Oryzias latipes: one gene and its partner. The protein of the gene in region 1 purifies or fractionates together with the protein of each later gene. This does not show direct contact. Links are inferred from orthologs where the notes say so. Each region holds a gene or a part of one and is shown on either strand. Other genes may lie near its edges. The genes, in order: chek1 and hax1.

The links.
Region 2: the proteins of chek1 (region 1) and hax1 purify together in Homo sapiens (affinity purification with mass spectrometry; 3 studies listed by BioGRID and IntAct, with this or other methods). This does not show direct contact. The link is inferred for Oryzias latipes from reciprocal best matches to the Homo sapiens genes CHEK1 and HAX1.

Annotation. Positions count from the first base shown.
Region 1 is NC_019872.2:13,136,660-13,141,110, forward strand, and holds the start of chek1 (serine/threonine-protein kinase Chk1), read right to left. Parts: upstream 2,912-4,451; 5' UTR 2,656-2,911; coding exon 2,591-2,655; intron 1,718-2,590; coding exon 1,603-1,717; intron 196-1,602; coding exon 87-195; intron 1-86. UniProt on the Homo sapiens protein: Serine/threonine-protein kinase which is required for checkpoint-mediated cell cycle arrest and activation of DNA repair in response to the presence of DNA damage or unreplicated DNA.
Region 2 is NC_019869.2:791,206-795,299, forward strand, and holds hax1 (HCLS1-associated protein X-1), read right to left. Parts: upstream 2,489-4,094; 5' UTR 2,364-2,488; coding exon 2,299-2,363; intron 1,923-2,298; coding exon 1,684-1,922; intron 1,611-1,683; coding exon 1,435-1,610; intron 1,369-1,434; coding exon 1,326-1,368; intron 1,242-1,325; coding exon 1,108-1,241; intron 1,042-1,107; coding exon 924-1,041; intron 855-923; coding exon 781-854; 3' UTR 593-780; downstream 1-592. Other genes in the region: aquaporin-10, read right to left, coding at 1-164. UniProt on the Homo sapiens protein: Recruits the Arp2/3 complex to the cell cortex and regulates reorganization of the cortical actin cytoskeleton via its interaction with KCNC3 and the Arp2/3 complex. Slows down the rate of inactivation of KCNC3 channels. Promotes GNA13-mediated cell migration.

The DNA of each region.
Region 1 (4,451 bases):
CAAACAATGTGACCAACATTAAACCACAATAATCCTTAGAGACAAAACAAGTAAAGACTCCGCTGAATTTAAAGTGAGCATCTTACCAATGCGGTCAAACAGCTCCCCTCCAGTGCAGTATTCTAGGAAGAGATAGACGGTTGTTCCTTCTCTCCGATGACCGAAAAACCTTACAATGTTGCAGTGGTTGAGAATCTACAAAAAAAATAATATTTCAGATGAACAGACAATTTCAAAGACCCACTCTGACGAAAATTGTGTTTCTGGTTTTCTCAACATGTTCTCATGATGGAAAAAACTATATGAAGAAAATTGAGCTTGCAATGGTATTTTTGAGTATTTTTATTTTCAAATGGTTGCGAATCACAAAAAAAGACCGTTTGAAAAAGAACGTATCTGCAATGTAGAAAATACAATGTCTCCCTTTGTATTTGTCCAATTACTTAAGAGCCCATGAAATGAAGGGATTGTGTTTAAAAAATGCTTTAGTTTTTCATAATTCTATGAAATCTTTTAGTTCAAACCATGGTATAAAAGCTGAAAGTCTGCACTTTAATGGCATCTGAGTTGTTTTATTTAAAATTCACTGTGGTAATGTACAGAAAGAATGTGTCTCTGTCCAAATATTTATGGTCCTGACTGTAGATGAATATATCCATGTAGGTCTTCGTCTTCCTCGTCCGAGGTGGTATCTGGCTAGAAACTGTACGGCTGCATGGGTCCAATGTTGCTCGCCATTTGTGTTGCACCGATAATGTTAGGGTGAGGATGTGAGGGGCTGTAAGCTAGTGGAATAACATGTAAAAAGCTGGGTGTCAGGAAGTGAGGACAGGGTTGTTCCGTGTCAACGGTTCCGCCCACAACTCAGAGGTATATTTTTAATGAACTGCTACAGTTTCCTCAGCGTAATGATGGCTCCTTTCACCTGCATGGTGAGCTCCTTTGACCACATGTCTGTTCACAGCAAAATCTTCAAAATGCAAGCACGAGTCCTCTAATCAACCCCAGGCCTTTTATCTGCTTCACTCATAATGACATAACAAGGGAATTGCCCACACCTGCCCATGCAATAGCATGGAAGTCAATTGTCCAATTACTTACGAGCCCATGAAATGAAGGGATTGTGTTTAAAAAATGTTTTAGTTTTTCACATTTCTATGCAATCTTTTTGTTCAACCCATGAAATAAAAGCTGAAAGTCTGCACTTCAATGGCATCTGAGTTGATTTATTTCAAATTGTAGTAATGTACAGAAACTAAATTAGAAAAAATGTGTCTCTGTCCAAATATTTATGGTCCTAACTGTATGTCTTAGAAAACGACACATTTCTTTTTCATTTTGGCTAATAATGGAATAATCGTAATTGAAAGACCACCAGGGACATTTTTTGAAAATAGATCAAAAGACAATCGGAGAGGGAGTTCAAAGCTTTTTAATTAACCAGTAAGAATGGGTACTTATTCAGGTTTTTAAAAATGCAAAAATTATTCAATAGATTCCTTTTTTAATCTGTAAACAAATTGCTTAAACAACAAAAATGAGAGATGATTTGTGTCAGAAGTGCCTGGTTGGGACCAGCTGTTTTAGACGTGGCTGGGATACCTTATGGATGCAGATCTCTTTCTTGACATTTTCTGCACACTCCTCTGCTTGTGACGTGTCGATCACCTTTACCGCCACCGCCTCCTCCGTCTGCCTGTTCACCAGCAGCCTCACTCTGAACACCAGATCAGCGTAGGAACAAAAACAAACCAAAAATAAGGATAAAATCAATTCTCAATTGCATTGCTCCCTCTTCATTTATTAAATTTCTATTCAAAACAAATCAGTTTGGTTAAAAATGTGTTTGCAAAAAAACATTTTTTTGTAAATAATAATTTCATGTCAGATTCTTATCCTTTTTGTTGCATTACACTTTCATCTTTATAATTTATCTGAATACATATACAGCTGTTCTTCTCCTGCCTCTCTTCCCGTGTGATAAATCCTCACTAAAACTCTTTCTACATAACTTTTTCTGATGGGTTTTCCACATGGTCCTATTCTAAAATATTTAAAAACAGATTCGGACCGCTTTAATCTAAGCATATCATATGTTATGCTTGTAATCATTTTAATGGCAAAACATTTACAATGATTTTTACTTTTATGTCTAATTTACAACAATGAAAGTTTTCTGTTAGTTAGATTTGGCTTTGATCCATCAATAACCCTTGTGCTATGGGGTCCAGATGACCCCACCCTTACATTGACGTGTTCTCCCTACCATGACAAAGGTGGATAAAGGTGGAAAGATTTCATGGAATCCATGGACACCAGTGAAGATCACAAATCATTGAAAAAAAAAGGTTCAGCGCACTGTCTTGACTTGTGGGGTCCAGATGACCCCACTCCCAGCGTTAACGTGCCTTTGATAGCACAAGGGATAAGTGTCAAAATCTTCCAAAACTGAAACCCGCTCACTAACTCCTCTACTAGTCTTCAGCAGATGTGTGTGCAGATGTTGTGTGTGGGTTCTAATGAACACGTGTGGTCCTGCTACGCCATGAAAAGACTTTCTGAAGGGTCCAAAAAGAAAAAGGGTTCCTACTCTCCATAAGCTCCTTCTCCCAGCGTCTGGACCACGTCCCAGTCCTGCACGAAAGGCACCGCCATGATGATGATGAGGATGGAGAACAGAGAGAGAGAGCCGGTCAGAACAGAACCAGTCCTGAAAGTGGACAACAGCTGCTGCTCGGCTCAGAGAGCCTGGTTTGGTCAGACTGAAAAGTCCAATCTACACGGCTGCTGTCTCCTCTTGTTCCTTTTCACAGATATCCATCGAGCCAGTTCGGTTCAGAACCAGCAAAGCTTCACGAATTTGGCGCTAAGAACTTTCCCAGTGACAACTTCCGTTTCTTCTTCTTCTGTTGTTGGAAAACACTTTTTTGTGCATTACCGCCACCACGCGGGTCATTCCGGAATTGGAGGACATATTACATTCCACTCATAAGTATCCCTCCGAGGAAAGTTTTTGACATGTCTTTCTGGCATTTTTCTTATGAAAGAGAACAGTTGTAATAAAAATCAGTTCATTTTTGCATGTCTGAGTATTTCTCCTTTTAATTTGCTGTCAATCAAACGGTCGCAAAGATGCTCTATTTAAATTGATGACCCGTTGTGATATTGTTGTTTCATTTTATTTGCTGTGCGAGTGAATTCAACAATCTGCATGTGCTAGCATCAAATCAGTTACGAGCCACAGCCAGTGCTGCTTGCTGGTGCAATGTCGCCTAAATTATAATGTTATTAAAAGCATTTTCATGGACTTATCAAAGTTCTTTTTCATGTGTAACTGTATTAAAGCGAAAGTAAGTCAATAATAAAAACTTTGGTGATTTTTTTTCTATCCTACATTGACAAAAATGTTGAAATGAAATCTTAAACAACCCACTTCAAGTGTTACCAATTAAATGGTATAAATAAGTTAATCTGTGGCATAGGGGCTTATTTATTAATTTTTGCATTGGTGTTTTTGCATCCTTATTTGATTTGATTAACAGCACCTTGAGCTGTTTTCTTTACATGAAATGTGCTGTATAACTAAAATTAATCTGAATTGATATGAATATATTTGTTAAACTGACTGATGACATCAGTGCCTCACCAGCACTCACCACATCTCACTGCTGAGCATGTTAAGGTAAAATTGCTATGAGCAGAAACTTACCAAATGTAGCACAATTCACACAAGCTGAATTCCATCTAAATTCCCCAAAATTGTATTTTCTGTATGTTGTTTAACAGAAGGATTGACACGTTTAAAATTAACATGGATTGTTATTTGCAAATAATACAAATTTGAAAGCTGTTTCCTCAGCACGTAGAGCTGCATTTTCCTCATAGAAGGGGACAACATTAAGTTCCAAGCATGAACTTATTAATACTTTCATACAACTGTTTGAAATCCTTTCACCTTCTTTTAGATGAACTTTAGTCTTGATCTAAATCAGACCATGAAGAAGGACAAATACTGCAGTTGGGGAAAAGTCTCACGTTGCATCAGTCTTTTGAAACTGAATAAATAAAAGAGTGATCTTTGTTCAAAGAATTTTTTTTACATAACTCCTTAAAAAAAGCTTCATTTACACAACCCAAATTTCAAACTGTTACTTTTAACTGGTTCAGCATGGAAGCTTCTGTCCACTGGAGAAGTCTTGCTGTTTTCTTTTGTCTACTTTGCACAGGTAAAATATATCTTTTGTGGCTTTAAGCAGGCATTTCATTTTTAATTTTCTTCTTTTTTTAAATTCAATTCATGAGATAAATAATGTGTTCAAAATTATGATCATGCATAATTTAATTCAAATTACTGTAATACAGTTTTTGTGGAAACGAGGAGTAGATGTTTCTGTAAGAATAAAAAATTCCTCAATATCTTTGAATTATTTTTTTTTTTTCTTAAAGGACAC
Region 2 (4,094 bases), on another chromosome or scaffold:
TCCTCTGGACCCAGGCGTGTTGCCACCCTGCAGGTCGGACCCGGCGAGATCTGCCCCTTCGCCCTGCAGCTGACGTCACACGGAGGCGCTGCCCCCAGGAGGGGGGAGTCACTGACCGCGGAGGCCCCCCTGACAGGCGTGCACGCCCCCCAGGACGCCTGCATGACGGCTTGTTCCACTGGAGGACTTTAGATCCACTCAGGAAAGTGAAAGTTGTTTTTCTGAGTCTGAATCCTTTAGTTTCAAACGTCACAGCCAGAAACAGAATCACAAAAACTATAAATAAATCTGCAGAAAAGAGGAAACGAACCTTCATTCATCCCAAATACATTATTGACAGCTAAAACTAGAACTACTCAGCTTCAGAATCCATGAATCTGTTTTCTGACTCTGATGAAGCAGCAGAACAGGAGGAAAAAGCTTTCCCTCCTGGACCGGATCAGCCTGAACGGGCTTTCTTTCCACCACCTCACCAGTCTGACTGAAAGGTTCTGGAGCCCCCCCCCCTCCCCCCTGTGGGACGGTTCGGATCCGTTTCTGCAGATTGTGATGAGGACTGTGTTCAGGGGAAGAACAGTCCAAACGAAGCAGCTTGTGAATAAATTAGGTCTTTATTGGGTTCGTATCTGTGCGGCGCCAAGACGACGGTAGAAAAATAGATCGTCAGAGTTTCCTCTCCGTCCTGGGATCACAGACGGAGGCCAACTTTGGACAGAAATAACACTTTCTCTCAAACAAGACGGCGTGGATGGATCCAGACGGGTCTGAAGGTTCTGGAGGTTATTTGAAGCCTCCAAAGAACCTGGAGAACAGCGAGTCGTCATCTCGCAGGTCTGAGGAGCCCTGAGGTCCACCTGCAGCGACACAACTGTGAGGTTTGCAGCAGCTGCTAGAATGGTGAGGCGGGGGGGGCGTAGACGTACCTGGCAGCACCGGTCCGGTCTGCCCGGGTTCTTCCAGTCTCCCGGGACCTCCTGAGCGGGTCACGGTGGTCTCCTCGCGTCCCTGACCGTCTCTGACTGTCCGCCTCTCCTCTACAGTCTGACATCAATTATTTTATATGAAAACAAGCTAAAAAACCCAGAAAAGCTGCGTAACGACACCCACCCCATCGGGCCTCAGAACCTTAGAGACCACCACCGACTGGAAGAAGGACCTGCTCCTCGGCTGGTCTGGTTTCTGACCTGAAGGGGGCGCTAAAATCTGATCCAGGCCACCAGAGGACACTGCAGAGTCCAGATCTGGATCAGACCAGAGGGAAGAGTTTTTTAGACAGACAGGGGGGGGGGGTCACACTGCAGAACCGGGTCGGGTCCGTCTCCCACCTCCGTCCCGTCTGAGGTCTTCGTCTGCAGATCTGAGCGGCTCCTGCATCCAAACACAGAGGATGAGAGGGTGAAGGCATCACAGGTCTGAGCAAGAGGTCTCATTTACTTTGGAGAAGGGGGTCCAGCCGTGAAAGGGCGCGTGCGGGGGCCGAGGGGACCCGTGGGGCGGGGGCCGAGGGGACCCGTGGGGCGGGGCCCGGTCCGGGTGTTTGAGCATGAAGTCCCGCAGAGGATTCCCGCCTCTGTCCGGAGCTGCTGGGGGAGGCATGACCCTGGGGAGATCTGCAACACAGAGAGGGGGCGTGTGAAACCAGAACCAGAACCAGAACCAGATTGGTGAGCAGCTCAGACTGACCAAAGTGTCCAGACTCCAAGCGACCCATCTGGGAGAAGATCTCCTCCATCTCCCGGAGAATGTGGCCGAATACCGGGGGCTCCTGGACCCTCATCCCGTCCGGACCAAAACTGAAACCAAACCTGAAGGCGCCATCGAAAGGGTCCTCCTGACCCCCCATGAAGCCATCGTGGTGGAAAACATCTTCATCTTCATCGTCGTCCTCCTCATCGCGGGTCATGGCGTCAAAGAACGGGTCTCTGATGAGGAGGATGAAGCGAGCGGTGAGACCCGGTAGACCGGTACCGGCGAGCGCCGTAACCCTTGTGCTATCCTAGGCACTTTACCGTTGGGAGTTGGGTCATCTAGACCCACTAGACAGTGCTCTGAACCTTTTTTCTTCAATGATTTGTGATCTTCACTGGTGTCCATGGATTACATGAAATCTTTCCACCTTTATCCACCTTTGTCATGGTAGGGGGGACACGTCAATGGAAGGTGGGGGGGGGGGGGGTCATCTAAGACGGCACAAGGGTTAAACTGAAACTAAGAAAATAAAGTGCGCGCGCGCCGCGGGACCCCTTAGGTTTCCTAATCCAGAAGGTTATCTAACAACCTCCGACCCGAAAAACTCACCTTCGACCGTGAAAATTACCTCCAGGAACCCCGAAAAACCCGCGAAACAAATCAAAAACGCTCATTTAGTGACGGTTAGGGCTGAAACCGAACCGGAACCTTTGCCGGACCTTAAACTCTCCGGTCCGAACGGATGTCAACAGTGCCGTAAAGCGTTCGGAATGCCGTAAAGTGTCGTAAAGACGGAGCCGTAGTGAACAAACGTGTGACGCAGAAAGGGATTTAAACCCGAATCTGTCAATTATGAAATAAAAAACGTTAGAATGTTTATGAATATTGTAAAGATAAAAACGTTTCCACCACGTAGGAAAAAAACCAAAACACGAATAAAGTCATAAAAGAAAAACAATAAAACAAACCCGTAAACTTATGAACTCCTTATTCTACACGGAAAAGACTTTTTAGAATGCTACATTTAGTTTTTCCAAACGTTTCAACAAAAAAATCCCAAATTAACTAAGAATATTTTGTAGGCAACTTGAGAGTAATAAAAAATATCTAAATAAGACGATTGAGGTATTTAAACCAACTAGTTCACAAACAAATGCAGAGATTTGATACAAGCAAAATTAATAAAATCATTTTAGGTTTATCATCATCTTGTGTTAAATCATATAATCCACCCATCATTTTTGTTTATAATGTTGGTTTTCTAAATACAAAAACCTTAATCAAGTTTATTTTGTAGTCATGTGCAAAATGGTTTTTAAACAGAAAAAAACAATGATGGACATTTGATGAGACTGAATCCCAGACGAGTTCAGCAAAGCAGATCATTCAGCCTCCTGTCGTCCATCATCTCTGCTGGAAGGAGAGAGGATGAACCCCCCAGCAGAGAAAAGCCTCCAGAATAGAGACAGAGTCACTGCAGGGGATTAAAAACATCATCCTGTCCCACTTAATTCACCAATAATCATCCTTTTCTTGATCAAACTGGTTTTAGGAAAGAAATCTGCTGATGTGAAATGAATCCAGGATTCTGTTAAATTCACAAACCCCAAAAAAGTGAAAAACATTCAAAAATGATGAAAACGTCTTTGTTTATTTACTTAATATTTATATATTTTTACAAAATAAAAAAAATATGAAAACAAAGCTAACAAGTCTGCAAGGATTTGAGAAGGAAAGAAAAAGCCATGGACAAACGGGGACTACAGTACTTGTGTTTTTATATGTACAAGACTAGTTTTTCTCCATTTAGATTTTGTTTTAAAACGCACAGTACAAAAAAAAATAAAAATAAATCACTGAAAATGAAACAAAACCCAAAATACAATTCTGTCCATCAGTATTCAACGCTGCAGGGTTTCCTTTTATGTTAGAAGACAGGAGGAGGAGGAGGAGGAGGAAGGACGGGAATCCGTCTGTCCTTCCGTCCGGATGCGGTTAGGATTCATGGGAGGAGTTACTGTACAAACGCCGCATGCCCAACCGCCCTGAGCCCAAACGTTTCTGATCACAATCCCCACGTGTTCAAACACGCACGCCGTCACATGACGCGTTGTCCCCACAGCCTCTGTATATAGAATAGATCTAGATTTGGTAAAAAATAAACTTCACGACTCTACCAACTGCTTCTTCAAACTTAAAAATGACATAAAAGGGGGGGAAAGCATTCAACAGCAACTTATTTTGGGATATATTGTATGGGGGGGGTCTGGATGAAAGCACAGGTGAAGGTGAGAATATGAAACCGCCCCCCCCCCCCCAGTCAGGTTTTCTCCCCTCAAGCCAAAAAAAATGGAGGACCAAAGAAAGGAAACAGAACCCATTCAGGAAATGTTGGTTCTTTTAGA